Arabidopsis thaliana: one gene and its partners. The protein of the gene in region 3 interacts with the protein of the main gene of each other region in a biochemical or structural test. Each region holds a gene or a part of one and is shown on either strand. Other genes may lie near its edges. The genes, in order: CRK5, D6PK and EIR1.

Region 1 (10,279 bases), on a different chromosome or scaffold from region 3:
AACTCGTCACCGTTTTTTTGTCACCATATATAGATTTAGGTAAACACATGCACTTACAGCGTGACTGCCCAAGTTTAGAACGTTACTTTTGTACACATAAACCAAATAACATTGCATTAGCACTAATGGCAAATGAAAATTCATACAATTTTGGATCGTTGTAAGTTAATTACAGATTCACAAGAAAAAAACATGAATGGTTGACTCACACTATATAATCAATTTTACTTTTATTGCCAATAAAAGGAAAACAATTCAAATTTTATAGTATAAAATATTTTTTATCATTCAAACCTCTTTCTTCATTTCCATTTTTTACCTCCTTCTCTTTCTTTTTAAATATCTATTTAAAAGTGGAATTTTGTTTTTCACATTTATTGTATGAACGAATTCTTTTATATTGTCTTCACCTAGTTGTTGATCTAGTCTGTAAGAAGCAATTTCATCGCTGTCCTCCTATCTTTATGGCCCTGAGGCCCATGAGGCCATGATATACGGGCTTCATCTCAATCTTAATGGGGTTGTACATCACAAATGCACATTATATTCTTCTCGACAAAGGACTAAGAACTAGGGTTTGGCACCGCTATGACTGCTTGCTTCCCAAGCAATTGATCATCAAAAGTGAGTGGGTTCAAGTAATTTTGTACACATCAATTTTTTTTCCCTTTTTCGTCTGAAAGGATCTAAATAATTTGTATCCCATCTTGGTGAAATCTATGGATACGATTCGATTGATGGTTGAGTTTGATTTCTTCGAAATAAATTTTGATGTTGTTTTGTAAGAGAAGAAAATACGAATTGTAAAATACCGAAGAGATGCTAATAATAATTGTAAAACAGCTAAGAGTCTTGGCATTTTTCTTTACTTTAATTCGTCTTCTTCGATATTGGTTGCTCTCTCTCGCTTTCTTGTTGACTTCGTCTCTGATCATCTTTGTTTTTTTTCCTCGTGGACCATTTTTTTTTTTGTTTGTTCCAATTGTGAATCTCTGCCTTAAGAGAGATTCCATAGCCTACGGTATAATTGTAAACATTTGCGGTTGACTCAACAAAAATCTAAACACAAGTCAACCCAAGGCACATTGATGGGACCAACTTGTAAATTATTTGTACATTTATGTGCAAACAATTCAAAACACCGTGACCTCAATTCTAGTAACAATCTCCTAGAGTATTAGAAAATGAACACCAAAATCCAAATGTTGAAATTTGCAGTTAGTTCTAGTTTATGAAACAAGTTTGTCTTTAACGAGGAGCTAAAATAGTAATCGATGCAGCATCAATGGAACAAAGAGAAGACTTATCCATCGATGGACCTGCTTGTTCATGATTACTCCGGAAGAAAAATCCAGGTGGTTGAGGTACAGCGAGGGCGATCGAGCTAGTAGTAAGCATTTGGACGATCGCTGACATGGTTGGACGATTTTCAGTATCTTCTTGGACACATAATAAGGCAATATGGATGCATCTAATTATTTCGTTTCTTTGATAACTATCTCGAAAGGAAGAATCCACGAGGTCTAGTGGTGACCCGTCACTCCATAGCCTCCAAGTCTATTGAACAATTTAAGACTTATATGTTATGAATGTTTAGTAGAGCAAAAAAGTGTAAGTGTTTATTATACTCACATATGTAACCAAGTTTCCAAAACTAGCATCCATCTGATAGAGGCTGCTATTTTTCCTCCCGCTTATAATCTCAAGAACTAAGACACCGAAGCTATAGACATCAGATTTCATTGAAAATTGGCCATACATCGCATACTCGGGAGACATGTAACCACTGCCACGATACATAAATGTTTGAGTTAATAGAGAATTTTTATATTTAATAGATGGCAAGACCAAAACTTACTAGGTTCCAACTACTCTTCTCGTATGGGCTTCTGTTTGGTCTATTTCAAAAATCCTCGCCATTCCAAAATCTGCAACTTTCGGGTTCATATCAGCATCCAAAAGGATGTTACCCGCTTTTAGGTCTCGATGTATGATTGTGAGTCGTGAATCTTGATGGAGATACAGAATTCCTCTAGCAATTCCTCCTATGATCTTGTACCGTGTAGTCCAATCCAGCTGGCTCTGCATTCTAGAATCTGCACATCCATATAGTTAGAATACCTAAAACATGAGTTCCAAAAGGAAATATCTTTCCTAAGCTAAATCTTACCAAACAAGAAGTAATCAAGGCTTTTATTAGACACAAACTCGTAGACAAGTATTTTCTCTTCTCTCTCCAAACAAAATCCAAGAAGCTTGACCAGATTTCTGTGCTGAAGCTTTGCCACAACAACAACTTCGTTCTTGAACTCTTTCTCACCTTGTCCTGATGTTTTCGATAGTCTCTTCACGGCAACTTGTACTCCATTAGGAAGTGTGCCCTAAAAAGATTGTGAATTAAACAGAGCCATCCCCTTATTTGATCCTCTTATGCAAGTAACAAGGAAACTCAATGAACCGGTAGTAGTACCTTGTAAACTTGTCCAAATCCACCTTGACCGAGTTTGTTACACATCGAAAACTTATCTGTTGCAGCTTCAATAACCTTGAAATCAAACTGCAGTGACCCTGCAGTTGTGATGTCATCCTCTTCTGCAAAATATTTAAGAATTCAAATCCATAAAAGTTTAAGCAACGGACACATAGATTTTGGAATCTTTACCATCATTTGCACCTGGTGTATCATAAGTCTTCTTTGCTCTCTTTGATGCATGGAAGCTAAAAACAGCTACACAAATAAGAACTGAGATAGCGACTGGCACAACAATTGCTATGATTATCACTGTAGAATTTTTGCCTTTTCCTGCATAAGTCTTAGATTAGACATGAACTAAAACCAAACTAACTATTAGGTAAATAAATAAAACAGAGCTCTAACCAGGCGGAAAGGAAGGAGTTGAAACCAGTGGCAGTGGAGGAGCCGAAACCGGCGGAGGAAGAACAGTTCCCTCTATAGTTTCCTTGTAAAAGGGGTAAACCTCGTACCTTGAGTTACAACTTGGGACAAGAAATCTTCCTCCAACTTTGTTGAAATATAATTCTTTGATGGATTGTTGAAGACACATTACACAATCTTCACTAGTCAGATCAGGAATGCACTGAACCGATGCATAAAGCGACTGAGACGAACTGAAATCCGACTTCTTAACCGCGAATTTCTTGCTTGTACTATTAGCCGCTTCCTCTGCAGACTTTTTCATCAGAGAAAGCACTGCATCATTAAACCGGTCAGATTGGTCCGCCGTAACTTTCTGAGTGTTCCAAGTGATTATTGTAGTTGTGGTTACAGTATCCATGAATATATTCCTGTCTGAGTATCCAAGCATGCACTCATCATACTGAATCAAGAACTCTTTCCCACCTGGACATCGACTCCGAGTGTCTTTAGCAGCAAAGATGACGCACTCACGGCAAGATTCTGGCGAGAGATCTCCTTTGCAGAGATAAAGTCCGAACACCATGTCGGAGTTTTGACCCTTTGTGAGACTATGAGATCCCAAAGAGAAGTAAGCATTGTTAGAAGAAAGAGAGGTCAAAAGTGTTTGGAGATTTGAGAAGTAAATGGAGTTTCTTGATATCCTGTTAGTACAAACATGGCCAACGTAAGTAGGGTCTTGTAATTGTGCAGAAACTCTCAAGCTTCCAATGAAGAAGGTTAGAAGGAAGAGAAAGTTTAATGAGGTATAAGCAGACATTATCCAATTTCTTCACCTTTCTTCTCTGTTTTTTTTTTCTTACTTTTAATGATTGGTTTATGAGTACTAATGAATGAATGTGAAACCAGCCAAGCCAGTCAAATTTTGGTTTTTGTAAAATAATACAATATCTTGCAAGTCAAGGTCAACTAGACGAGTAACATCAACTTGTATTGATGTTAACTAAAATGAATCAACTATAAAAATGTTAGAATAAACATGTGAAAGCGAAAACCAGAGAAAATACAATTATAAATTTTTAAGTTTTCATGAATCTGTTTCCGGAAAAAGATGAACCTATTGGAGTTGGATATTTAATAGGTTTGTGATTATTCAGCAAGCCGCGGAGACTTTGGGTCAATAAGACAACACCGTTTTACTTCCTTACCAAAGAAGTAACAAACGAACAGTTACAAGTTAAAACAGTAACTTCCCAAACCCTAGTTGCTTCAGTTTCTAGCCTTCACTGCTTCATCAAACCAATCAACACTCTTAGTGGAAGGTTGACTCTAAAGATTGTCGTTGACTTCATATTTTAGTACTTTTCCTTCTGAACTTTACAACTGTGTATAAGAATTTTAGAGTCATTTTGGGAAACAAAGAACTGAAACTTGCCTACTTACATCATTTCATCTCTCTGTTCCTCACAAACTCTCTTGCTTCTGCAGAAAACCGTACTTACTTATCACATCTCTGTTCCAACAAAACAAACTGATTGTGTAAGAATCAGCAGATAAGCCATTAATTCTCTGCACCCTTTTGTTTTCACTCTCTAGTAAATAAAATTCTAGACAAGAGTATCTTACACTTACTTGTCAGGCACTAAAATATTATGAAACAAAAATGGAAGTAATTTAACTAAGAAAAATCGAAGCTTGACCGAAATTCTGCGTTAAGCTTTGCTACAACAAGAATCTCATTCTTGAATTCCTTTTGTTTCTAATACCAAGTTGTAGTAGGCTAGTGGTTCCCAACTTTTAAGGAGCTCCCGTTTATACACTCATTATTGGGCTCAACTGGTGATATGTGGATCACTGATCAAATAACTAAATTTTGATTCAAATTCAAGTTAATTTTAACGTGGGCTTTTCCCAAATAAAAATATATGTTGTTTAAGAGAAATGACAATAATAAGAAAAAGAATCATTTACTTTGACTTGTTGACTCTTATAGTCACCACAACCCATCTTATACTACACGCTAGTGATCAGCTTATAAATGGGAGCTCTATGATGTGAAACTCAAATCAAGGTACTCAAACAATGTCTTCTCTTATATCTTTCAACTTCCTTTTCCTTTTCTCATTCCTCACTAGCTCCTTCACAGCTTCTGCTCAAGATCCTTTTTACTTAAATCATTATTGTCCAAATACGACAACTTACTCAAGTAACAGCACTTACTCCACCAATCTCAGAACCCTTTTGTCCTCTCTATCTTCACGTAACGCCTCTTACTCCACCGGATTCCAAAACGCCACTGCAGGAAAAGCCCCCGACAGAGTCACCGGACTTTTCCTTTGCCGCGGAGACGTCTCACCGGAAGTTTGCCGTAACTGCGTAGCCTTTTCTGTCAATCAAACCTTAAATCTTTGTCCCAAGGTAAGAGAAGCCGTGTTTTACTACGAGCAATGTATACTCAGATATTCTCACAAGAATATTCTATCGACGGCCATTACAAACGAAGGAGAATTTATCTTGAGTAACACCAACACTATTTCTCCTAATCAAAAACAAATAGACGGGTTCACAAGTTTTGTTTCCTCCACGATGAGTGAAGCTGCCGGTAAAGCAGCCAACAGTTCTAGAAAATTATATACGGTGAATACCGAATTGACCGCATACCAGAATTTGTACGGGCTGCTTCAGTGCACTCCTGATCTTACAAGAGCAGACTGCTTGAGTTGTTTGCAAAGTTCCATCAATGGAATGGCTCTTTCCAGAATAGGAGCAAGACTTTACTGGCCGAGTTGTACTGCAAGGTACGAGCTTTACCCGTTCTACAATGAAAGCGCCATTGAAACACCACCACTACCACCACCACCACCACCACCACCACCGAGGGAGTCGTTGGTGTCTACTCCTCCGATATCATCTTCTTCATTACCTGGTGAACTCATTCTCCGTCCTCTCTTTTTATTTCCCCTGCTTTCTTGAAATACTAGTAGGGAAAGTTTTGTTGTTTTGATTAATTTTTGTATTTTTATACTCTGTGGCATTATCTGATCTTAAGCCAATGATCTTTAAAAAGCAGGGAAAAGTGGGAACTCAACAGTGTTAGTGGTAGCCGTTGTTGTGCTGGCTGTTCTGCTTTTCATAGCTTTAGTTGGTTATTGTTTCCTTGCAAAAAAGAAAAAGAAGACTTTTGACACAGCATCTGCATCGGAGGGTAAAGATTACTAACAATCTTAATTAGGTTTGATATATTAGTGGTCGTCATTCATCAGCCTCTTTAGCTGATTACTAAGACATTTGTTCTGTTTATTGTGCAGTAGGAGATGATATGGCAACCGCAGACTCACTACAGCTCGACTATAGAACAATCCAAACTGCAACAAATGATTTTGCAGAGAGTAATAAGATTGGTCGAGGTGGTTTTGGTGAGGTTTACAAGGTATACTATAATATCTTCAAGTACACCCTAGGTTAAGTACTTCGTATTGATTCTTTGATTGGATAACGAGATGATGCTGATTAAAAAGTTAAACGGATAGGGTACATTTTCAAATGGGAAAGAAGTTGCGGTGAAGAGATTGTCGAAAAATTCAAGACAAGGCGAAGCGGAGTTCAAGACCGAGGTTGTTGTAGTTGCCAAGCTTCAACACAGAAATTTGGTTAGGCTTCTTGGATTTTCATTACAAGGAGAGGAAAGAATTTTGGTCTACGAGTATATGCCTAACAAAAGCCTTGATTGCTTACTATTTGGTCTGTTGCATTTCAATGATTCTTTGACCATTAATCTTGAAACTTGGGGTTGCTAATCTCAAGATTTAACTGTAATCCATGGATTTGCACAGACCCTACAAAGCAAATTCAGCTGGACTGGATGCAGCGATACAATATCATTGGAGGAATTGCTCGGGGGATTCTATATCTTCATCAAGATTCACGGCTCACAATCATACACCGTGACCTTAAAGCAAGTAACATTCTCCTAGATGCGGATATAAATCCGAAAATTGCAGATTTTGGAATGGCTAGGATCTTTGGATTGGACCAAACCCAAGATAACACAAGCAGAATAGTTGGTACCTAGTAAGTCTTCCACTTAACATCTCATAACTTATAATATGTTGAACATTTTACATTGCCAACATATACACTAAAGTTTTGTTGTGGATTCCAGCGGTTACATGGCTCCTGAATATGCGATGCATGGCCAATTCTCAATGAAATCTGATGTCTATAGCTTCGGAGTGTTAGTTCTTGAGATTATAAGTGGTAGGAAGAATAGCAGCTTCGGCGAGTCAGACGGTGCACAAGACTTGCTCACACATGTAAGTTTTAAGACAATCAATATATACCTCTCTTACATTACATTAAGTAATGTTAGCTAGAACTGATTGCTTGATTGGTATTCAAGGCTTGGAGGCTTTGGACTAACAAAAAAGCATTAGACCTCGTGGATCCACTTATAGCAGAGAATTGCCAGAATAGTGAAGTGGTTCGATGCATCCATATCGGTCTTTTATGTGTTCAAGAAGATCCTGCAAAGCGTCCGGCAATATCAACCGTTTTCATGATGCTCACTAGTAATACTGTGACCTTACCAGTGCCTCGGCAACCAGGGTTTTTCATTCAATGTAGAGCCGTAAAGGACCCGCTTGATTCAGATCAGTCTACCACGACCAAGTCTTTTCCAGCGTCTATTGATGATGAATCGATCACAGATTTATATCCGCGCTAAATATGACCTTAAACTTCATGCTTGTAATCAAGCTTACGCAAATGTTTACATATTTGTAGAATTGTGGATGTGATCAACCCTAATAATTTTTTAGTTTTGATTTGGTTTGTTAAAACCATATGTATTTTGTTTTGATTTTTTAATAATGAATAATTAGTCTAGTCTCAACATCACCACCGATTGAAAAAAATGAGAGAGGGAGAGAACACTTGGAATGTTGGCATTACAGTTTGGTTCATTTTAAAAATTTGGGCAATCCAAAAGCTATAACTTTGGAGTTCATTTCAGCGTCTAAGAGCCAAGAGGATATATACCTGCTTTGAAGTCACAATGTATGGTTATGATCTTGAATCATTCTAGAATCGCTTTAGCAATACCTCCAATGATCTTGTACCATTTGATTTGGAAACAGAGACTAAACAGAGTACAGTGGGAAGGTGATTTACATGATTTGTAATGTGGTGAAGTAAATGAAATGTGAACTATCTATCACGTCAAAAGTTTTTTTTTTTTTTTTCTTGTTGTAAAGTAAACTAATAACTAATACAATATTTTGAAAGACAAAGTCATCTACACGAGGAATTTAAATGTTAGACTAATAAAACATGTGGAAGAGATAACCAGAGAAAATAGAATTACAAAATTCCAGGTTTTGACGTCTATCAATCTATTTCCGAGAAAAATAAAAAATATTGGGTTTGAATATTATTTAATAAGTTGATGACTATTCTGCTTGGCGCCGAAACTTTGGGTCAATAAGACAGCACCGTTAGACTTCCTTACCATACAAGTAACAAACGGAACAGTTATTAAGTTAAAACAGTCATTTCGCAACCCTAGTTGATTCAGTTTGTAGCCTTATTTAGAATCAGCACCAATCAACGCGCTCAGTGGAAGGTTCGCCTACAAAGAAATAGGCTTTGATTTTTAGAGTCTTTTTTTTTGGAAACAAGGAACTTTACAAATATGCCTAGACTTATATCACTCACATCTCTTTTCATACCTTCTGCACTTTTTCCTATAAATTATTTTTCAATTTTTTTTATATAAAATATTTTCATACATCTAGATGGATCCTTCACAACTTTTGAGATTATTTTGTTATTGTTTTATGGATTTTGATATTCTTCATAAAATTTAAGTTTTATTAATTTTCATGATTTTTAAACTCCATTAAAAATTGTGTTATTCAAAGGCTTAAGTTTCATTAAAATATATATTGTTTGTAAAATTTTATTCATAAAACAAAAAAAAAAAACTGTGGATATCCTTTACAATATTAAAATTATTCTATAACTACAATACTCTCTACAATCTTAAAAATCTCTCATTTCTTGAAAGTTGAAACCAAACTCCCATATTATTTAAGAGGTGGAGAAACAATGATTAAGTTTTTGGGTTTTGCTCAACAAATGTTTTTTTGGATCAATGATCCAAAGATTCCAAACACTAAACTCAACGTCTTCTTCCAATAACTTTTACTTTTGTTGTTAATAAAAATGACATAAAAAAGATTAATCGTATACAGTACATTGAGTTTGATTGACGACTGACTTTAAAGTCGTAACAAACCACCGTATATTTCACGTTAATCAAATAATCAGCACTAGTCAGAGAGAGAATATAATTTGTCAGTTTATAAATGGAAGCTGCATAATGTGAAACTCAAATCAAGGAACTCAAAGAAAAAACCATGTCTTCTCTCTTCCCTTTCATATTCCTTTTCCTTTTCTCATTCCTCACTAGCTTCAGAGCTTCTGCTCAAGATCCTCGTTTCCTAGCCTATTATTGTCCAAATGCAACAACTTACTCAAGTAACAGCACTTACTTGACCAATCTTAAAACCCTTTTGTCCTCTCTCTCTTCCCGCAACGCCTCTTACTCCACCGGATTCCAAAACGCCACGGTGGGACAAGCCCTTGACAGGGTCACCGGACTTTTCCTTTGCCGGGGAGACGTCTCGCCGGAAGTTTGCCGTAACTGCGTCACCTTTGCCGTCAACAACACCTTTAGTAGGTGTCCGAATCAGAGAGAAGCTGTGTTCTATTACGAGGAGTGCATACTCAGATACTCTCACAAGAATATTCTATCGACGGCCATTACAAACGAAGGAGAATTTATCTTGAGGAACCCCAATCATATTTCTCCTATTCAAAATCAAATAAACCAGTTTACTAATTTGGTGTTATCTAATATGAACCAAATTGCCATCGAAGCAGCCGACAATCCTAGAAAATTCTCTACGATAAAGACCGAATTGACCGCACTCCAGACTTTCTACGGGCTTGTTCAATGCACTCCTGATCTTTCAAGACAAAACTGCATGAACTGTCTGACAAGTTCCATCAATAGAATGCCATTTTCTAGAATTGGAGCAAGACAGTTTTGGCCAAGTTGTAATTCAAGGTACGAGCTTTACGATTTCTACAACGAAACCGCCATTGGTACACCACCACCGCCGCTGCCTCCGTTGGCATCTCCTTCACTATCTGGTGAACAGTTTCTTCTACCTTTGCCCTGTTTACTTGATCTTTGCAGTATTACCAATATGGAACGCAGAGTTTTCAATTTTTGTTTTGTTATAAGTCTACTATTTTCTTACTAAAGCAGATGATCTGTTTAAACGCAGATAAAAGTGGGAATTCAAATGTGGTCGTGGTAGCCGTTGTTGTGCCTATCAT
Region 2 (10,209 bases), 460 kb from region 3:
AAGAGGAGAGGATCTTACCAACACAGGTAAAAGTATCTTCGTAAGCTATTCAAATCTTTGCTCTTGTTACCTTTTCACTTTGCTTATTCACAGTCGATCCTAATTTCAAAGAATCGTAAGAAATGTTAGAAGTCAAACCCTAAGAGATACAATAAAATTGCTACTTTTTCGAATAATTGGACAAAAAGTAATGTAAACTTGAACAAATGAAGGAAACCCTATCAAGAATGCAAGCAATACCTGAGTTTTGATCTTCCATGGCTCCTTGGTCTTTGGTTTAGTTTTGATTGTAAGAAAATGTACGTATATGACCAAACCATAAACATATATAGAGAAGTCTGGTTAATACTTCAAACCTCCTGTTATCTGAGTTATACCACTAATGTACCACTCATAAATTGCATTTTGTTTTTGTAAATAGTTGTTTTCCTGTCTCTATCACTTATTTCAATTTAATTAAGGCTGTTAATTTCGTAAATAGGGAACAAGAAATAATGAGTAAGAGCCAGAAACATGTAATTCATATATTGAAATATATAATTTAATGTATAGCCAATAATATATAGGATGAGAAATAGCGCGCGGGAAAAGTATCAAGACCGGGTAATTCATGTATCCAAAGTTCTATATCAAAAGTGTACACTAATGAAATGCAGTATGAGACAGAAATCCGGGTAATGAGAAGAGTTTTAAAATTTTATAAAGCTAAAGCTAAACCACAACCTAAACTCTCACTATTTGGTAAGAATCACTTTTTAAAGTCCGGTCCAAACCGATTACTCACGATTTTTGGAGAAATGAACACACTCTAATTTCATAAAAAACAAGTAAACAACTTTAAAAATGGCCTCATTAATTCTTAATCCCATCAACTAACTTAGATAGAAATTGCTAAAACCAACTCGAAGCTGAAAGCCTTGGACAATATAGTCAATACACTTTGTTTTAACATTAAAGGAAACGTTTTGTTGATAATCACAACCAGTAATCGAGCTTACCTGATATCGAATCTCTTGACATTTCTTCCTTTTAATTTTACATAAATTTTGGTCTTTTTCATTTTGTATATAAATTCAGTTTTTCCAAACTTATGTTTCTATTATGTTCATTAAAACTACTAAACATTTTACCAAGTTTTTTTTTTTTTTTTTGTTAACGTGTTGTCTTACATAAAAATTTCTTAAAAAATTGTTTACATATGAGCCTTATAAAATGATATCAATCATATGTAGATTGATATTCTGTCACCAAGTTGATGAATGATAGTAATGATATTAAATACACGATTATGTGTGTTGACATGAGATAAAAAGTGTATAGAAAAATGTAGAAATGAGAAAAAATCAAAAGGTTAGCATTTATTTATGGAAGTCGATTTCACCTTTGATTTTGTTTTCCAAATTGTTAATTGTTGGAATACCAAACGTGTCGAAACTGTGGTACAAAAGATCATCATTAGTCCCATAACACACACTTTTTATTTATTACTGTACTTAATTAATAAACAGCAGAATATAGTATAATTTTATTACTCTCTCTTCTTCTTCTTCCTCTTCTCAAAAACTTTCAGTTTCGATCTCTCCTAAAAAGTTTGAACTTTCCGTCGAATCAAATGGGAAGCGGAAGATATCTAGACGACCCTTTAACATTTACTAGAAACCCACCTTCCTCGTCGTCTCCAATCACCGAATCTAGCTTTCTCGCAGAATCGATCTCTCGCTCTGGTAGCTTCGAGAGTGGGAGCTTACGAGGAGGCGATGGTGATTGCTTTAGCGACGTCGATTTCGCACTTGATAAACTCGCTGGGACTGTACAGTTCTACGAGAGGCATGTCTTCTTGTGCTACAAAAAACCATCCGTTTGGCCTGCGAGGATCGAAGCTTCTGAGTTTGATCGGTTACCGAGGCTTCTCTCCTCCGTTATATCGGCGAGGAAGAGTAGTATGAAGAAAGAGGTGATTTTGTTTTGAGGGACAAAATTTAAAGTTCCAGAATTTACTGTGGTATTAAGTAGCCTTAGGTCTGAGAATCTCTGTAGTTTTGGTCTCCATGGGTTTGTGATTCTAACTTAGGGGAGACTTAGAGTAAATCCCTAAGAAAGGTTTCGCCAGTGAACATTCCTAATCTGCAATATGAGTTTAAAAGGCACTTCTTTGTTTTTGTCTTGTGAAGAGCTTCTTAGATCTCAGTGAGTCGTTTCTCCTGAGGATATTTGGGATTTTTCTTGAGGCATTTTTTTATTGGCAAGATTCAATGCTTTACAACTTAGGAACTGTTAGTTTGTTTGTAAAAGGTTTCAGAATACACAATTCTAGTGTACTGACTTTGAAGGAACCCTTACTTACAATGTAGCTTCTTATTATCTTGCACATCAGTTATAAACTATCTTTTGGGTCTTTTAGATGTCTTTCTGATGTTTTTTTATCTATGCGTTGAATTGCAGACTTTACTCACAATATGTGAGGGACATGATGGTTCAGAGACATCAAATGGGGATGTTCTGATATTTCCAGATATGATCAGATACAGGTACTACTCAGTTAATATTGTGGTTGATGATTCTTAATAAACGGTAACTCATTTTGGCAATTTCAAAAAAATGCAGAAGGTTGACTCATTTTGATGTGGACACATTTGTTGAGGAGGTGCTTGTGAAGGGTGTTGAGTGGTTGCCTGGAAATCCTGAATCTCTTAGTAGTTCATATGTCTTTGTATGTTGTCATGGATCTCGAGACCGGCGATGTGGGGTTTGTGGACCTTCTCTAGTTAGTCGATTCAGAGAAGAAATTGACTCGTGTGGTCTTCGAGGTGAAGTTTCAGTCAGCCCTTGTTCTCACATTGGTGGTCACAAATACACTGGAGATGTTATCATCTATGGATTAAATATCAACCAGAGAGTCACAGGACACTGGTAAGTAAACTAAGGCTAGCTTTGGAGTAAAAAGATTTGAGTGTGCAACCATAAAGAGTTCTATGCGAGTTTTAACTTATTAAGTAATTCTTGTCTCTTAGGTATGGATGTGTGACTCTAGAGGATGTTCCTCTTTTGTTGGAGCAACACATTAACAAAGGCGAAATTGTAGACCGGCTTTGGAGGTATAGAAGATCAAAGCTTCTTGATTTAGACAGTCTCTAAAAAGAATTTCGGCCTTTAAACAACACTTATTGATTGTTTTCCAGGGGTGAAATGGGTCTGCCAGAAGAAGATCAGAAGAAAACTCAAGAACAAAGGTTACAATTAAACAGCGAAAAGATCAGCAACAGAGAGGTGACTCAAGAATCAGTTAATAATAGTATCTGTTGCCAGTCTCGAGCTGTCCCAGAGCTGAACGGTAGTGGTTGCCAACAAAATGGGAACTCCTCTTACTGTCTGGAGGAGATTCACACAGAGAAAAATACCTCGGAGAGAGTAACCTCTGTAAAAAATGCATCTCTTCGGATAGGAAGCAGCGAGAATGGATCTTCTGGTGGATTCAAGGTTTGTGCGGTGATGTCAATGTGGTTGGAGACTTGGGAGAGAGAAGATACATATGCTGCTTTAGCTGTTGCTTGTGCTGCTGCATCTGTGGCTATTGCTTATAACTGCTATAAACAATTGAAATGAAGCTATGTGTTTTATATTTAGCTTCTATGCAATGGTAATTATCTCAGTCTTTAGATTAGTTGTTTCCTCTTCGTCTGTACAGAGTTAGAAGAGGGTTTTAACTCTTAAGTAAGAACTGCTTGTTGATAACATATGATTATTATATATCCATTTGTAAGTAATTACGGGTTTAGTCAATTTGGTTTAGAGTTCAGATCAATGAAAAGCAAGGAACTTTTGAGGTTTTGATATGGTGGATTAATGGATTCTCAATGGTTCGTGTCTAACATTAAACTCAAGAAGATGGTACAGAGACTGTCTCACAACTTTGAAGAATGATTACAAATCTCATAACTTTTTCCAAGACGTGAAAATTAAAAAGAAGAAAAAAAAAGAAACACATTTGTAGAAAACACTAAACAGAATTTGCAAAGAAACAATAATGAGAATCATCAACTGTGGAAACAGTTTCTTCAGAAGAAATCAAACTCAAGATAATTACTCTGATCAGATCTTACACTCGAAGATGCGGCTGCTGGCACAGTAGGAGTAGGATTCAAAGCTTCAAGATCAACCGGTTTAGGAATCTCCGGTGGACTGGCACATCGAACCAGAGCCCAATTCACTCCTTCAAAGAAAGGATGTTGCTTTATCTCTGTTGCTCCACGCTTATAAGCTAATCTATGTTGTGGCTCCTTCACAAGCAAACTCCTTATCAAATCCCTAGCTGCGAAGCTAACAACCGGAGATTCAGGGAATCTAAGAGGCTGACCAACCACGTTGAAGAGCGTTGCTCGATTTCCTGACCCTTTAAACGGTGTTTTACCAAACAATAGTTCATAAAGAAAGATCCCAAAGGTCCACCAATCAACTGCACTTCCATGTCCTTCACCTTTGATGATCTCTGGAGCTAAGTACTCGTGTGTGCCAACAAAAGACATAGAACGGGCGCCTGTGGGCTCTGCAACGAGTTCTGGTAACGGAGTTACTTGGTGGTTCCCGTTTTCGGTTTTCGGTTTCTTGTCTTTCTTGGATTTCGATGAGAAGAACCGAGGACCGAAGCAAGATGTTGGAGCCATTGAGATGCAAGATGGTTGCTGGATGCATGCAGGTTGTTGCGAGCAAGAAACCGAATTCTTCGACAAGCCTTCGGATCCAACATTAGCTGATCTGACTATAGAGAGGCTCACAGTACATCTCAGGGAGAGATCAAAATCCGAAAGCATCACGTGCCCATCATCTCTCACAAGAACGTTCTCGGGTTTCAGATCACGGTAAATGATCCCAAGCATGTGTAAATATTCCATTGCAAGAAGCACTTCCGCGACATAAAACCTGCAAAACAGCAAGTCACTAAGGTTATATAAACGCACAAAACTAGATTCTTAGATAAAGAAAGTTTAGAAAAAGTTTCTTACTTAGCTGCTTGCTCGGTGAAGCGTTTCCCGGGTTGTCTCTGCCTTAGTGTATGCAAATCACCACCAGGACAAAACTCCATCACCAAACAAGAGAACTTCTCTGTCTCAAAATGACTATACAAAGTCGGAAGAAACGGGTGATCAAGACACTGCAATATCTCTCTTTCAGTTTGAGCCCTAAGAAGCTTTTTCCGGCTAGCCAAAGCAGTTTTATCCATAACCTTCATCGCAAAATAACACCTAGTTCCATTCAACTCAGCAAGATGAACAGTTCCAATATCTCCACATCCTAACCTCTTCAAGAGCCTAAAATGATTCAAACCCAAACCACCATGTTTAGTTCTAACAGCTTGAATAGCTTCCCATCTCACATCATTAGCCTTGTGAGGTTTGTTGATACTGCTACTAAAGCTGCTACAAGTGCTCTCATCGCTTATATCACTGCTTGTACTTGGTCTACAAGTGCTACTCTTTCCACTCTCACCTTGCTCGTTGATCTTACTATTACCGGTTTTGCCATCACTACTTGGATCAGCGAAAGACAAACTCGAAGATACTTGATCTGCTAAAGTGTTGATTGACATACTTTGACTGGAATTGGTAAGTGATCCTTCTGGAGTTTTTGAAGCCATCATTAACACAGAGCAATCTTAAACACCAATTCCTTCTTCCCTGAGATTTAAAGAACTTGTCTTTACTCTCTAGTAATCAATACTGTCACAGATTCCATCAACGAGTGGCCTGATCTATAGTCATCAAAACAAAACAATAGCATCAGTTTAAAGCTGGATTGAGAAGACTCAGAAACAACAATCACGGATCTTACTACAGATGAAAGTTTAAGTAGATGCACAAAATTTTACCCAAATTGAAATATCAAATCTAAGTGACAAATCAATTAAAGCTCTTCATGCAAAAAGTTTGGATTTTTATTTTGAGTCTTTAAGGGTAAAAACAGATCTCGTTAAAGTAAAGAAGAAGAAGAGGCAAAATAAAGAACTTTTGGATCTAGCAAGAATCAGAGAATAAAACCCAGAAAAAGAAGAAATAAAAAGAACAGAGCTTTAGAGAGAGAGAGAGAGAGAGAGAGAGACCCAATAAATCGTTACCTGAAAGTGAAGATTTTTGAGCGATAAAGATCACGAGATACCCTTTTCGAAGCAAAGGGAAGGAGAAGTAGAAGAAAAAAGGAAGGAGAGGGAAAGAGAGAGAACAGTCACTGTTCATGTAAGGCTGTAGAGAGAGAAAGAGATGTAAGAACACATCTGCTTGCTTCCATGGAAATGGGGATAGATAGAGAGAGGGAGAGAGAGGAGAGAGTGTTGTTAAGAGAGAGAGAGAATTGGGTCTACCATGAAAAGAGGGAAGAGGAGAGAGAGGGTCAAATAAAAAGTTGAATACTTTTTTTTATTTTTTTTATTTTGAGGGAATTTCAATTATTTCAATGTATTTTTTTTTGTTTTCTCCAAAATGGAAGACATATGTTTACATCAAGAATGCTCTCGCGAGCTGTTAATAATTTTAGGCTTTTTAGGGCAACCAAATTTTTATTGATACATGTTATTGTATATTTCCTACATGTTTACTTTATATTTTGATTTTCTAAATAATTGTCTATAGAAATTTTTATATATATTTACCAAAAAAATTCCTTTTTGATTCTTTAAATTATTAAACACATCAATTTAAATTATTAAAATTCAACATTCTTATCTTTCATCTATTCTCATGAATCTGTCATGTGCCTTTTACTTGATGATAAAAAAAATTGATGTTTACCTCTATGCATAAATTTATGGATTTTACATATTTAGCTTAAGTTTTCACACGAGTTTTTCAGTTTAGCAATTCTAAGTAAGAACTATTGTGAATGCACATTTTTGTTAGAAGGACAATCCCATATGCGTGCCACCAAACTATAATTTTCTGTTTTATTTATGCGGTTTGGAAAACATCGTCCTAAGCGTATGTTTTCGTCATCATGCAGCATCTTCGGAAGTTTCTTCTTGTGTTCTAATGGGTGAAACTTGAGGCATTAAATGAACATTAGCGCATACCATATCACAAAGAGTTTTGCATCTTTTCGGATTGCCAATAGATGATAAATCTTATAAGCTGAATGAAGACATAACAATAGATATTTTATATCTCGATTTCTTTTGTTATCAATTCCATTTACATCCAGTGTTCATCCAATTTTATGGTCGAAATAATACTTTCTAAAAGCTTGTTAGCATCCGTCAAACATTCTGTTTTCAAATTTTTAGTGAAAGTTTTTGTCATTTACCAAAATCAATAAAAAAAAATCTTTTAAGTTTTTAAAAATAACTAAACATTCCAAAATTGTATAAACCTTTAAAAAATTTCCCTAATAACAAATACGTAAATTGGTCATGTGTATTAATTTTATTTTATTTTTTTACTAAACACACCAAACAATTATTTAAAATTAGACTCACCATTGTTTGAAACTTGAGAGTTCCAAAAGATGCCCCTAAAACTTTTCAGCAAATTCTTATTTATTGCCCAATAATAAGTTTCCTTAGATTCTAAGATTATATTTCATGTATTTTATTTTTTTTCCCCCACATTTAAATCGAACAGAAACAATGTTTTTTTAGAAATGGTTCAACAGGTAGTTGACAAACCAGAAGATTGTTCAACATAAAAGAACACAAGTGGGTATAATTTGTTCATTTCCTCATATCTCAAATAATTCATATTTTAACCTCATGCTCTTATTAGATCCAATTACTGCGTCAATTTTTAATCGAGAAGCTCAGATCCAATAACGACAATTGCTACACGATCGGCTTGTGACGTGAAACGCGAGTGGGGAATCTTTCTTCATTATAATCCCATTTCTTTAGGTTAAAAATACTGCAATAATAACAAAATAAAAGGTTTAGTTTATTAAAATGTTTTGTTTACCATGATACTTGAGGGATTAAGGTTTCTAAGTTTCTTCATTACAATTTAAATCATAGCTGGACACTGTCACTAAGGATGCTTTAACATTTAAATGGTAAGAATATCCATTTTTATACAAGTTTCTAGGTTTACTCTTAGATTTAGATCGAGTCCTCTCAAAGTCTTAATTATATTATTTTCTTAACAAATTCATAGAGATTCAATGGTTAAAAGATTTATCGTGAAAATTAAAGATTCGAGTGTTCCTACAATGAGATTAATCATTATTGGTGGTAGTTGTGAATGCTTTAAATAGCAAAAATACCTAGTTCTTTTATGTCCAAAAAAACTAGTTTTTTTTTTTTGGTAAGCTCCAAAAAAACTAGTTTAGAGTTTGGTTTAGATCTCTTTGTTGTAACTTATAAATATAATGATAGAGATTTCTATTTATTATCAATCAAAACAACTTCTACACGCAAATTCGTTTACCTAATATTTTTTAATATTTTAATGTTCTTTCCAGTTTTGTTTTTGTTTCACTAAAGTCAGCCAAAATAATTCAATTATGATGGGCATATTATAAAAAAAATTACAGTAATTTTGTTCTTTATTTCCAATAATATGTCATATACTGTACACTTGTTTTCAGTTAATTTCTGTTTGATTAGTTTATTATCCACTCTACTTTAGTACAACCCAAATGTCAGAACATAGTCCACATGATTTTGTTTGACGTAAAGTTATAAATAATAGTCCACCTGATTTATTTTATTATCTTCTTTTTGTTTATAAAATAACCATCTTTTTCCCTTACAAAAATGTTCTTTATAACAGCAGACAAAAAAAATGTTCTTTCGAATATAATAAAATCAGGAAGAAAGTAAACAAGAAAAATATATGAAATTATTCATACCATAATAATACAAAAATTGATTGATTGGAACATATAATCGACCAGTTAGATATCTTTAATGATTTTCGATTATTTGAAATACATATTTATAAAAAGAATGAATAATGCAAATAAAAAAAGAAAAAGGAAGAGTTAAGGATAAATAATCAAATTAAAATTGAGAGGTCCCCAAACAAGATCTGACAAAGATAGATGAAGAATGGGTTGTCATGTTCTCCAACACAAGTCCCACTTTGGTGTGAGAGTTTCTCAATCTCTCTCTCTAACTTCTTACAACCAATCAACAGCTCACTGCCAAATCCCTAATTTTTTTTAAAAAACAGTTCTCTGAAAAATAAGAAAAACTAAACTGAAACAATTCTGAGCCTTTCAATTTCATATATTTTGTTTGGTTTCATACAATTATGGTTTGATATAGTTTGGTTTGAGTCAATTCCAACATATGAAGTGATGAATTAACAAATTAATTAAAAAGTTGATAATTAATCATTTGAACTTAAAATTAACAAAATTTAGTATATTCATTTCGGTTTGTTCCAACTACATTTAGGTTAAAAAATGTTGGGTTTTTCGAAATAAAAAATATTTAGGTTAGTAGTTATAGTTTTTTTTTTGGCCACCCCTAGTTTGGTTCTTGAGTAAAAATAACAGCAATTTAGTGATCGGCTCAAGAACACAACTTAACTTTGATTCTCTTAAAAGATTTTTTTCTGAAACAAAACTTTTGGACATTTAAGGTGGTCTGCCCACGGAGTCCAACAGAGTGCTCACTCTGGGTGCTTTTAACGTTGCACAAATCTCGTCGTGAATAAACAAAAACAAGAAAGCCAATATATGGCACAAGCCTACTATAACCATAGATGATAACGTTTTCGCAAATGTTTTTTCTTCTCTTTGATGAAAAAACACTGAATCATCATTACTTCTCCTCCTTCGCCTTCTCCCGCATGGCTATTCTTTTCTCTTCCCTGCAAACGTGATTATACAAATCATTGTCAAGCAACTATATATAAAAGACAAGTCTAAAGCATTTTGTTCTCTCAGTTCATGGATGGGGATAGATATTTATATACCTAGCTTGAGCTATTTCGTTCTTCCATTCCCGTCTCTTCTTCTTTTGCTTCCTTGGTTTAGATGGCTCTTCCACATTTTCAGATTTTGATTTCTTATCCTTTTTACCTCTCTTGTCCTCCTTTGATTTTGCAAGTTTTTCCTTGTTCTTTTTTTCTTTTCTTTCCTTAGGTTGCCTAACGGGAACAGAAGGCTTCTCCGTCTCTTCAATGGCCTCAGCTTCATCATCATCATCACTAGACACTTCAGCTTGCTCTACAGTTTCTACCGCATCATCATCACCTTCTTCTGAAGATTGCTTCACGTTGCTCATTT
Region 3 (12,557 bases):
TATCCCATTCTATAATTTTATTTTGAAAATAAAGAACGCGGAAAAAATAAAATAGGTAAAAAATTCACGCGTGAAAGCAAGAAGAAGAGACAGTAGAGTCTAGAGACTACTAAAGTGTTTGGTTTACTCATTCCCTCTCCTTTTCAAGTGACAGAGCCAGACACTCACTACCTCTGTGTTTTTTTTAATGGTCGGTGAAGAAACCGTGATTTGCTCAAATCACCAAAATAATACTCTCTTCAATCTCCATCTTCCCGTTATCTCCGCCACGTGTTTCTCTCTTTTTGTCTCCTTTCTTCTTCTCCCTAATCTTAATCTCAGAAACCAACAACATCAGTAGTCAGTACCCCCACACACACAGAGAGACCCTTTTTCGATTCTCCACTTTCTCATAAAGGAACGATTTTTCGAGATGTGGGTCAGTGTTGATTTCTCTCCTCTTGGCTTATGAGTTTCGAATTCGAATCTCAAACTAAAAAGCTTTTTGAAACAAGCAACAAATGTTACTGACACCTAAGATGTTTAGTTCTTGGCTTCGACAAGATGTGAAGAAGATCCTCAAACGCAAAGACAGTGATGCTGGTGAACGAGGTAAATTTCAAAACTTTTACTTTCAATTTCGATTTCGACTTCTATGATTGATAACCGTTTCCTTTGAAACATCTCTTGTTCCTTTTAGGATTGATTATCCAATCTTATCATAGCAAACCCCCAATTTTTTTAGATTAGGGTTTTATCACCAAAGAGTTGATTTTGATTATGTAACAATGGTTTCTCTAATTCAGGAAAAGCATTGGAGGACTTGAGAGCATCGTTATTCAACAGATTCCGTTCACCGGAAACTCCAAAGAGACAGCAACAACAACAACATCGTATCTGTGGCCCAACTGTTGCTCTTACTTTCAATTTCGTTGTTGCTATTAGCATTATCTTCATGAACAAATGGGTACTTTTAAGTTTTAACTAACCAACCTCTCATTTTAACATCTTCATTAGTGTTAAATACATCAAAGTAATCAGCTTTTTTTGCTTCTTTGATTGCAGGTTCTTAAAAATATAGGCTTTGAGTTTCCAGTGTTCCTCACATTCATTCACTACATTGTAGCTTATCTACTAATGGCTCTTCTCAAATCCTTTTCGCTCCTTCCTGCTTCACCGCCTTCCACGAAATCATCGTTGCTTCCGCTCTATACTCTTGGCATTGTAATGTCACTCTCTACAGGACTAGCTAATGTTAGCCTTAAGTATAACAGGTTTTGGAAACATTCTCTCTTTTTTTGCTCTCCCTTGTTTTCATACATTGCTCTGTCTCATACTGTTTCTCACTTCGTTGTTTTTGTTTCTCAGTGTTGGATTCTACCAGATGGCGAAAATTGCTGTTACGCCTTCTATCGTGTTTGCAGAGTTCTTGTGGTATAGAAAGAGAGTTTCTTTCATGAAGGTAAATGAGATTTTCTCTCTTTATCACACAATTTGTTTGTAGTCAATTGGATTTATAGAGTTAACAAAGAGAAAAACTTTGGTATAGTAAGTAACCTTGTGGCTGATGTTTTTCAGGTGGTATCACTTACAGTTGTATCTGTGGGAGTTGCGGTTGCGACTGTAACAGATTTACAGTTTAGTCTGTTTGGTGCTTGTGTAGCATTCGCATGGATCATACCAAGCGCAACTAACAAAATCTTGTGGTCTAATATGCAGCAACGAGAAAACTGGACTGCTTTGGCGTATGTGATTCAGATTCGTTTGTTTTCAGTCACACTCATTCATATAGCTGTATCAACATCTCTCAATACCATCTCTTCATTTTTATTTTTTAATTCAGGTTGATGTGGAAAACGACGCCAATCACTCTGTTGTTTCTTGTATCGATGATTCCGTTCTTGGATCCGCCCGGTGCTCTATCGTTCAATTGGAGCTTAACCAACACATCTGCCATTCTTGTTTCTGCTCTTCTCGGATTCTTTCTTCAATGGTCAGGAGCCTTAGCTCTAGGGTGAGTAAAAGTTTCTTATACATTAGTGTTGTCGTTACATTTTGGATTTAAAGGTTGCGTAGCTGAGTGGTTCCTTAAGTCCAAATTTTGCTCCATATATTGCAGAGCAACTTCTGCAATTACGCATGTGGTGCTAGGACAGTTCAAGACTTGTGTCCTCCTCCTTGGAAACTACTACATTTTCGGGTCGAATAGTGGTTTCATTAGCGTTGGCGGTGCGTTTGTGGCGATTATGGGAACTTCGTTATATACATACCTTAACACGAGAGGTCAATCTCTTAAAACTTCGTCTTCTTCTTCTGCTCTCTCGGAGAAGAAGTCAAGATTCAGTGATCTTAAGGATGATGACAAGAATCTTGAACCTTACGGCTCCGAAGCTGTCTAGTCTAGGCTAACTTTTGTATTATATAGTTTTGATTATTCCACATTACATTAGATTCTAATTCCAACTTTTTGTTTTTGTCGATGATTCTTGTTTCCATTTTTCTAATTTCATCTCTGAAAATAAACAACTTTTCTTTTGACAACAACTCTTTCAATTCATTTTTTTGTTTTTGTTTTCTTTTGTCTTGTCATCAAATGTTCTTGTATCTTTTATTTTCTGTCAATTTTGGGAGGTGTATATGTGCTGAATATCTTGAAATTTAATGAAACTGTTTTTTTTGTCATCTGAAAAAGGATGAAATTTATATGAAACTGTTTAGAAAACAACTTATAATAATTAACATAAACTATAAGAAGAGCAAAAAAATTAACAATCTTAAAAATGATTTTAGACCAAAACAAAACCAAAATGTCATGAAATGATTTAGGCCTTATGGGCTGAATTTGTTAAATGGGCCGGTTTTAGTCTTACGTATTGAGGATTTGTATCATTTTGCTTTTAATTAGTAATTGATGATTTGATCCAATATGGAACAAAAAAGAAGCTCATAACGCTGATTCATTTTCGATCGCTTTTAGTAAGAGACTGATAATTTTTGGCATTAGCAAAAATGATAAAATTCTAAGGTATTTATGCAAGTTTGTTTATAAACATGTGCTATAATGTACTTGAAACAATATGAACATTAATTTGTTATACAAGATAAGATTCACGATGAGACATTATAATAGTAAGGTGCCTAGAGAGACAAGAGCTGTCACTGAGCAAATGTTGTCTCCTACTCAATGCACAAAACCTTCTGAAAACATCAAAACGTATAAATACTTTTACCCTTAGTATACATATGCTATTTCTCTTACGCACTTCATTGAATAATAAATATTTTTACGTGTAAACTATTAAAAGATCTATTGTCAGATAAGTCAGAGGTCAGGACAACTATATAGAGAAGAATTGTTATTGAATTTCTCATGTGTTGTTGTTCGTTCAATTACGTTCCGACCAAAGAGCGAGTTCCAACGTATATCTCATCGTTTTGATACCCCACGTGATCGTTTTCACGTTACACAGTCAACGCCTCCAGAGCCAAGCCATCTTTTCTAGTACATTACATTTACATACTTAAATTCAAGCGCCGATCACCGATACGTTTTGAGGAGCTCATAATTAATCAAACGCAAGGAAAAAGAAGAAAAATAATTTCTATTTCATAAAAACTTTGGACAGTTTGGTTGAAAAGTTTGATCACTCGTTAAGATATTCACACATGTTAGATATGCACAATTTGTCTATAACGCAAAACTTATCATCAGCAACTATCTTACTACACAATCAATTGTCTAGACTAGTGCTTTCATTTGAAATGTTTCTTTCTCCACGCAAATTCTTTGTATCACTCCAAAAATAGTCCGAGTGATATCTTATTGGTGACAGATAAGTATATACTAAAATAAAGGAAAATTAAATTCTATTATAAGTTTGATTGTTCTTTACTCATCGAATTAAAATGCGACTACCTTCAAGCTTCAACCGAATATTACGTTCATAATTTTTTAACAAAAAAAATAACGTTCATAATTAACTTTACATACAAACAAAAACATAAATATATAAGACAAAAGAAATGAAATAAAAAGGTTATATGTGGAAGTATTAGTGCATTTGATCCAAAACAAAATAAAGAATTGTATGGAGATTTAGAAAAGCACAAGATCTAATCTAAACAGACTGCGCGATCTAGTAATACTTGACTAGTATATGATGAAATATTAGTGTAATTTAATAACATGCTTCACGACCATCGATAAATAGAAAAAACTAATCAATAGTAAATAATTGTACTTGCACATCCCAAAAATTTAATAAATGTAACAAAAACTACAAAGTCACGTACATGCATGTGCATATAATTAATTATACAAAGTTATCTAAATTTTCGACTATCATATGCTATAATTTAATTAATGCGACATTGCATGGTCCCATACACCTAAGCCTGACCTGGAATTAGTCTTTTTTCGTTCTTGTAATTATTCTTTTTCGTTTGAAAAAAAATCACCTTTGGGTCGTATCGCCTTTTATTTGCAAATACGTTTTGATAATAACTTAAAGCCCCAAAAGAACGTAGTAGAGTACTGTTACAGGCAAAGCAACCAGCATTCCGAATATAACCCTGAAAAATAATATCAAGTTTTTAGCTTAGGAGATCTCTGTAACTTTGTATAGTTTGAATACCAAATTAATATCTTATATATAGTATTAAAATGAAGTTTAAGAATGAAAATTAAATATTTTATAACTTAAATAACTTACGCAGTGCTGAGAATATCAGGATGGACGTTATATTCTTTGGCGAAAACAAAAGGAACGATTCCTTGAGGAAGAGCAGCCTTCAAAACATACAATTATATATATTCTTATCAATTATATTTTTCAAAGAAACCCAACATCACTAGCTAAAACATCAAACTGTAAGTTAGATTGAAATATATATAAGACTAAAGAGTAATCACCTGAACGATGGCGATATGGAGGAGATCACCTCGAATACCAATTGCTATTGAGGTGGCTGCGATCACGGCTGGTCCAGTCAAGAACCTTACGGCCATCGCAAACCCTGCTACTGATTTTCCGCACGCAATAATCTTTGGTTGCAATGCCATAAATAGACCTATATGTATCAATAATTAGCAAAAAAAAAAGCACCAAAGACTATAACTAAATATATATATGAAGGGAACTATACCAAGACTAAACATAGCCATTCCAAGACCAGCATCAGATAATATCGAAATCGATCCACTCATTATCGTTGGCATCTTTATATTCCACCTGTCCCATAAAATGATCAACAACATCAAGCAATTGCCCAAATATATTGTTATGTTATATGATTGTGACATTATTATTAGTACTTACTTGAAAGAGACAAGGGACCAAGCAAGGCCAAAGAGACTAGAGTAAGTGTTAGGGTTTCGAATGAGTTTTCTCCAAACCATTATCAGAATTAGTCTCGTCATCACACTCGCCGGCGGCATCTGCTGTTTCCTAGGACCGGGACCGCCGTCTTCCACGTCGCTACCTTTTTTGCCCATGTAAGGTGACTTTCCCCCGTTATTACCGTCTTGGTCCATTTCCACATGCCCTTTTCTTCCCGGTGACATGTTCTCTATCAGATTCTGCATCGCTGTCATCACCAAGTATGAATATAATTATAATTAAATATCACAGAAAATACTAAACTAAATTTATTATGACCTTTCTTCGACCAAAAAACTAACTTATAGAAAGCCGTACGGAACCAAATAAAAATCTACTTTAATTAGTTTAAAAGTTTTCATAAGTTTTGAAACTTTGAAAAAACTATAAAAAAAACTTAGAACCGATATTGAGCTTTATACATTTTTCCTAAAAGTTAAAAAAAAAATAGAAGCGTGGCAAGTAATGATAAAAAAAAATATGAAATAAGTTGGAGATTAATAAACCTTTAGTAGCGAGGTTGTCGTGAGGAGGAATAGAAACTTTAGGGTCGGTGGATACATCGGTGGAAGAACCTCTGGTCATAGCATTCTTCGCGTTGGCTTCCGACACCGGAGAAGCACTCGAACTCCACACGAACATGTTCATCTCCTTGTTTTGTCCTCCTACTCCTACTCCGCCACCGCTTCCTCCGCCACCACTTTCCTTTTTCTTGACTCCACTTGCTCCACTCGTTGACCCCGTGAACATTGGGTTCGGCGGTGGGTACGACGGAACTGACCATAAATTATAGAAAATTTTATTTTAAAACATTACATTATAATGAAAAAATCACATTTAAATTTCAAAATACAAAATTAATATTTTGTTTTCCAAAACTATAATCAGTTTAAAAACCTAAGAGTTTTGGAAGTGATATACTAAATTATTATTATTTTGTTAAAAGAAAAAAATAATTACGCAAAATTATTTGATGAACTCTTTACTTAACTTTTAAACCTTTTTAAACCTAATAATATCCCACTTATAATCACCGGTGACTGATGGAAAATAATAATAATATCTGAATCGATTCTTATATCTATTTAAATTTATAAAGAAGCAAAATATATTTTTTTAAAAAAATAAATAAAAAATAAATATATATATATATATATATTAAAAAATTCATACCACTATTATTGTTGTATAATTCCCCACTCATACTTCTGCCTCCTCTTCCTGCTTTCTTCGCCGTCTTCATAACTTCCTCATCAAAATTTGACGTTCTCGGCGTCACGCCTTTAGAAGACTGAAGTGAGTAAACATCTCCACCTGGACCAGCTCCAGCGCCGCCGTAGCTATTAGTGTAACCGTGACGAGGGCTTGGAGCTTTGCTTGCGTTAAACATTGCGTAGAAATCTGTCTGATTAAAGCTAGAAGCTCTCGGCGTCGGCTCTCGTGACGATTGAACGGAGTAAATCTCTACGCCGGTGAGATTTGAAGCTCGCGGCGTTATCATGGAGGAGTTAAGTCCTCCGCCGTGAGATTTGTTGAATGAAGAGATCATTGATGAGGCGGCACTTGATCTTCGAACCACCACGTGTAGCTTTCCGTCGTCTCCTATCTCCGCATCGGTCTAATGAAAGATAAATCCATATTTTTAGGTGATGAATTTCGAGTCGATGTGATTTAAACCGGATATAACCGAATCGGTACAAAAAGAATGAAAATTCAACTAGACTATAGTTAATAACTTGATATTTCTTATATTGTACTAATTATTAAATTCTGCGTGAATAATGTAACACGTCACTTTGAAGATTATTTTTGACTTCTGAAAAAGGAACTCAGACAAAACTCAAAATTTGTTATAGATTTACATAGGCAAAAAGGAATCCCAAAATGACATGTAGTCATGTCGTAACTAGTAACTACCCATTTTCTAGTTTACTTGAGTTAACCGGTCCGTTAATTTGAACAAACATATGAAAAAGGTCATCAGTGAAAAATTCATACCTGGAGGGGTTCACGGCCATTAAGAGAGATAACATCAGAGTCAACTCTGAAGGAAGTAATTGAACCAGCCGTCTCCGGGAACTGCTCGGAGATGAGAAGCTTAGCCCCACGGAACTCAAACAAGAAGAGCATTAATGTATACCATATGATGCTCTGAAGCACCACGATCTGCACCATTAGGTTACCGGAGAAGTCTCCGTACATCGCCCTAAGCAATGGGATTCCCATTACCAACGTGTTAGGCAGTGTTGATAGTGAAAAGAGCGTTATCATCCATTCTAGGCTTCCTCTGCGGCTAAACGCCTAAAAAATAATATCACAATATATACACAAACATGAGAATGTGTGTGTTTAGAGACACATATTACAAAAGAGCTAAAATGTTAACTAAAATATTTACCCGTGTTAAATGACATAGTTACTATACTATAAGCTTTCGATAACCAATATGTTTTCGAGTAAAAATTGACCATCATAGCAATTACTAGTAGACTACCATCACTTAATGAAGATAGATTATGTGCATAGAGAGATTATTGAAAGAGACGGGCCTGCCAAAGAAAGAGTGCGGCGAGGATAACGACTTTCTGAAGAGAATCAGCAGCGAGGAAGTGGTAATTCATTGCATAAGGATCATTGGAGGAGATGAAATGGAAAGAGAGAAGAGGAACCGCGAAAACCGCAACGAACCGGTTTATACCGGAACATTGGTCCGGTGTGAATATCCCCCACCACCGTACCGAACCATAGGCTAATATCATAGCAACGTATAGCGGCACCATAGCCGCTAAAACATCGTACATGTCTTTGCCGGTGATCATTTTGATTTACTTTTTCCGGCGAGAGAGAGAAGAAGAAGAAAAATAGAGATATAGATGAGTATATGTGGTGTGAAATAACGTATTTATGGACAAGGAAGTGAAGTTCCTTGAGACGATATTTAATTAATGTTGTTTGTGTTAAAATAATGGGATTCGTGTTCAAACATTGAATTATAGCTAAGCTTAGCTAGAGAGGATCGTTGGACATTTGAATATCAAATAAACAAAATATAAACCAAAATGCCTTTTTTCTTCCTCGGCATTTTGTGAATGGACAAATACTAATACAGTAATAATTTCAGTCTGAATCTTCTTTGGTCCATAATTTTTCGAAGTGCTCTAGATTTTTTCTTTTTTTCCGTTGATACTAGATATTCCTTCTATCTTTATTACTTCTGCAAAAAGCCGTTATATTTAATTTGAAGAATCTTATCTTGGGATAAGGAAGATTGGTTTACCTTCTGTCTCGTGGTCTAACATTATTTGTAAGTAAAATTAAATGCTTCAGAGATTATAAATTATAATTACACAAATGTTAGATTCAAAATATCTGTAGAGTCAGATACTTGGATCCACTTGTACGTGTAATACAAATTTGTAAATTTAGATTAGATTTTATATTAATAAGAAAACAAATTTGTAAATTTAGATTAGGTTTTATATTAATAAGAAAACAAAAACGATTTTTGTGTAAGCTATTGAGACGGCGAAGGTTGATGGACATGCACATGGTTTTTGCGAGCATCTTACTACACTTTCTGAGCGATCTGCGGTTCCCTGTAAACATCTGATTTTTAATCAGGAAAAATACAATTGTAATTAACTTATCTTTTAATCTTGAAACGGTGTATTTTTGTTTTTAAACGAAAATCTCTTAATGATTTATTATTAACTACAGTCAAAGACATTGGCAATTGGACCGATGAATAATTAGCCTCTCTTCCATATTTAATTGTCGTGTTTTCTTCATATTGCAATTGTTAACGTATTTATCACGCCACGTGATTGGGCGTTTGGGCCTAATGGACCTATGGATCTAACGATGGAGATACTAACTAGATTATCACTAAAATCTCTTTTGAAGTTCCAATATGTATCGAAGACATGGTTTTCCACAATCCGTAGCAAAGACTCCATCAATTCGTTGGTCTCTATGTCATCTACACGATCATCGCGATTTCTTATATCTCTTTAAAAAAAACGGTGAATTGACCAACAAGAAACCTAAAAAGAGTTTGTTCTTCTTTACATCTTCACAAGAGGAAGAAGAATAAAAGCCTTTAATAAGTGATCTCAGTTTTAAACTTTATCCATGTTTTTTTGTTAACTCATGAATTGAAAGAGAACAACCAAAGTGAATGTAGCCTGATAAAACAGGATGAAACTATTGAAAGATTCAAACTTTGTTTACAGAATCATCCTTCTTGGCCACTTCACTACTTTCCAACGGTGGTAAACTCTGCACAAAAGTAAAAAGCAATCAGATTACAAATCTCTCATGGGCAATTCATCGAACACCTTATGTGCATTACAATAAAAGAGAGATCACAGAGCCAGAGAACGAAATGAATGGTTTTAAACCGATCACGCTTATGGGCATTATCAAGAACGAAGAAAGTGAGCAAACCTAATACATTTGAGAACCCTAACATATGTACAGAAAGAGAAGGTGAAGCTTACGAGATCTGGTTTGTAGATGTTGTGGACAACGGAGGCTCCGGCGAGAAGGGAAGCAACGACGACGAGTGTTGACATTGCCAGAGACGGAGTTCCCGTCGGCAACTTTCCTTTATACGGTTTCTTCATCTTTGGCTCTGCTTTTTGACTGAGCGCGCGATATGAAGAGAAATTTGAAAAGCTTTTCGAAATTTTGAACCATCATCAACAAGTTTGCTTTTATAGCAAGTCGGCTTTTTATGATTTGAACGCGCAGCTCTCGCGCGTGAGTAACACGTCACCTCCCTGCCTGAATCTCATTATCTAAGGCCAAAGTTTTGAATTATATAATAAGGTCAAGCTACTCTAAAGAATTATGGAAATATCAAAACACTTTTTTGAGGATCGTTTATAAGCTTCAAGACCATCACTTGACAATCATGAGAGTTCAATACCTCAAACCTCATCAGATATGTCACATCATTCGGTACTGGTAATGATATCCTTGCAAAACATGAATTCAGTTGACATATCATATACATATTACTAGTAAGCTATAAGAATCTCACTCAACACACAAATGAATTTATTCTTAGAGATACATACGACAACCAGTCATTATGACAATCATCAACCAACTTGAAGAAGAATTGCTTGTAAGGGAGAGGGAAAGGTCACAAGAGGTAGGCCCAACAAAACTCAGAGCCCACAACTATATTTTCATATCAATGGGCCATACATTGTACATACATCAATGCGTACCAACCAAAATATAAAACATTCAACACCGAAGTTATTGAGTTTTCATCTGACACTCCAAAGTTCAAACCGAATAATCAAAACACACCAAAGCAAAATCCCTCAACCGGTTAAACCCAAAAAACTAACCAGCCAGTTTGAAACCATTTACCACTAATAACTATACCAATAATGCCAATATTACCCGTAACTTTTGAACTCGAGTCCTTGCTGCACATTGCTTAAAATCACAACGAATTTCGCCAATCAAATATAAAATATCTCCAACAATTTTTACCGACTTCCCTTGAAGATGTTTCTCGTATGAGATCCTTGTGCATTGCACAGCCTTGCAGGGCATAAGAGGTTGAAACCTACGCCGTTTTCGTAATGGGCCTAATAATAGGCCTTAAAAAGCCCAGTTACCTCTTTCTATTCACGGAATTGATCTTATCGAGCCTCCACTCATCTCTAAGCCTGGCAATGAAATTGTCGGCTTTCGTATCAACGTCCGGGCTTGGGCAGAATCCCGGCATACCGCCGCCGCTGACGGCAGCTTTAGTCTCAACTCCGCCATCAGATTGTGTGAGTTCTAGACCCCAACCGATATCGAACACTTCCCGTTCAGGGGAGCTACATCTAGAGCTCTGATTACTCCGTATCTTCGCGAAATCACCACTCACGACATATTTTAGCGGCGGAACTCTAAACGGAGGCGGTGGTGGAGGTGGAGGCGTAATTTGGATTAACGGAGATCCTTGGCCGTTGTTCTCTTCATTGAAATTCTTCGGTTTCGTCGGACGCGGAGGTCTTCCGGATTTCACTCTCCGTGGTGGTGTCTGAGGATCAAATTGGGTATATCTCGGCGGTGGAGGTGGAGGCGGCGCCGGAACGGAATGAATCTTTTTGTTGCTCTTAACTCCTTTCTTGAACAATCCGTAGAATACTGATTGTGACGATCGCAATGGAGGCGGAGGTGGTGGTGGAGGAGGAGGCGGAGACGGTGGTGGGATTAACGATTGGTATTGCGGTGGTTCCGTTACATCTTCCACCATCGGAGAAGATTCGATTCTCTCTTTTCTCTTCGATTTCTGAAGCTTCTTCTTCTTCTTCCCTTGATTATACAGAGAAGCGAAAACCATTTTAATCTCTTTCGCCGCATTGCTCTTTCTTCTTTGAAGAGTTCCTTGTTTTCTTGGTGGCGTAGCGGCTATAAGCGGCTGAGGAGGTGGTGGGGGCGGTGGAGGCGGTGGTGACGGCGGAGGCTGAAACGTTCGTTTAAACTTAGTCTCACTGCGTTTGGCGTTTTCTTGTAAATCTCTGTTTCTAACAGAACGATGAGTCCTTCTCGGTTTCTGCGGAACTTCAACCGGCGGAGGTGGGGGAGGAGGTGGTGGTGTTGCCGGTGGTTGTTGCGGCGGAGAAGACGGTTTTACAACGAACGTATCAATCTGAATCTCTTTAGGCTCAGATTCTTCTTCCTCGATTTCAGTTTTAGAAAGATTCTGAAATTGTTGGTAAGAACTCGAATCCTGCGATCGGTACTTATCGATTTCGAAATCATCATAAAACCGGAACCGTCGATCGCCAGTTTCTCTAAAAACTCCTTGTCTGAGATCAGGATAAGAGCTACTACTACGCCTCAACGGTACATTCCCGGTAACCGGTAATCCATGAGAAAAACTTCGACTACTTACACTCTCATAGATCTTAAGCCTATCAGAATCATACACGTCATCAAACCACTGCTCTGAAACCGTCGACGACGAGGATGAGATTTTGCTAATCTCACCGACGGTCATTTCACCATTCGTAACGGCTCCTCCTCCTACTTCTTCTTCTTCTCCGCCGTGTAAAGACTCCGAAGACAATCCGTCGTCGTTTCGTCTAGCGAGTACGCCGCAGAGAATCGCGAAAACCACTAAAACCACGTTTATCGAATCCCATCCTCGCTTCACCGAAGCTGGCTGAAGAATCTGAGATGTGA

Evidence for each region.
Region 1: of the proteins of EIR1 (region 3) and CRK5, one has a biochemical effect on the other in vitro, tested with the Arabidopsis thaliana proteins (one study listed by BioGRID).
Region 2: of the proteins of EIR1 (region 3) and D6PK, one has a biochemical effect on the other in vitro, tested with the Arabidopsis thaliana proteins (one study listed by BioGRID).

The regions. Positions count from the first base shown.
Region 1 is NC_003075.7:12,116,440-12,126,718, forward strand, and holds CRK5 (cysteine-rich RLK (RECEPTOR-like protein kinase) 5), read right to left. Parts: upstream 3,776-10,279; 5' UTR 3,696-3,775; coding exon 2,879-3,695; intron 2,804-2,878; coding exon 2,663-2,803; intron 2,593-2,662; coding exon 2,471-2,592; intron 2,382-2,470; coding exon 2,171-2,381; intron 2,097-2,170; coding exon 1,859-2,096; intron 1,787-1,858; coding exon 1,633-1,786; coding exon of another isoform or gene 1,594-1,632; exon of another isoform or gene 1,558-1,593; coding exon 1,249-1,557; 3' UTR 1,052-1,248; downstream 1-1,051. Other genes in the region: CRK6 (cysteine-rich RLK (RECEPTOR-like protein kinase) 6), read left to right, coding at 4,958-5,801, 5,946-6,080, 6,184-6,305, 6,406-6,616, 6,709-6,946, 7,020-7,188, 7,275-7,598; CRK7 (cysteine-rich RLK (RECEPTOR-like protein kinase) 7), read left to right, coding at 9,292-10,090, 10,228-10,279. UniProt on the Arabidopsis thaliana protein: Involved in multiple distinct defense responses. May function as a disease resistance (R) protein.
Region 2 is NC_003076.8:22,636,000-22,646,208, forward strand, and holds D6PK (D6 protein kinase), read right to left. Parts: upstream 6,416-10,209; 5' UTR 6,110-6,415; exon of another isoform or gene 5,864-6,109; intron 5,747-5,863; 5' UTR 5,636-5,746; coding exon 5,001-5,635; intron 4,918-5,000; coding exon 4,056-4,917; 3' UTR 3,814-4,055; downstream 1-3,813. Other genes in the region: AT5G55900 (Sucrase/ferredoxin-like family protein), read left to right, coding at 1,613-1,954, 2,443-2,528, 2,605-2,910, 3,012-3,095, 3,180-3,603; OLI2 (S-adenosyl-L-methionine-dependent methyltransferases superfamily protein), read right to left, coding at 9,743-9,791, 9,897-10,209.
Region 3 is NC_003076.8:23,096,384-23,108,940, reverse strand, and holds EIR1 (Auxin efflux carrier family protein), read right to left. Parts: upstream 8,426-12,557; 5' UTR 8,177-8,425; coding exon 7,907-8,176; exon of another isoform or gene 7,756-7,906; intron 7,659-7,755; coding exon 7,356-7,658; intron 6,976-7,355; coding exon 6,531-6,975; intron 6,134-6,530; coding exon 5,864-6,133; intron 5,566-5,863; coding exon 5,298-5,565; intron 5,211-5,297; coding exon 5,125-5,210; intron 5,050-5,124; coding exon 4,892-5,049; intron 4,769-4,891; coding exon 4,692-4,768; intron 4,552-4,691; coding exon 4,485-4,551; 3' UTR 3,713-4,484; downstream 1-3,712. Other genes in the region: AT5G57100 (Nucleotide/sugar transporter family protein), read left to right, coding at 501-591, 786-946, 1,045-1,253, 1,348-1,441, 1,558-1,724, 1,823-1,993, 2,099-2,378; AT5G57080 (uncharacterized protein), read right to left, coding at 9,573-9,635, 9,857-9,982; AT5G57070 (hydroxyproline-rich glycoprotein family protein), read right to left, coding at 10,993-12,557. UniProt on the Arabidopsis thaliana protein: Acts as a component of the auxin efflux carrier. Seems to be involved in the root-specific auxin transport, and mediates the root gravitropism. Its particular localization suggests a role in the translocation of auxin towards the elongation zone.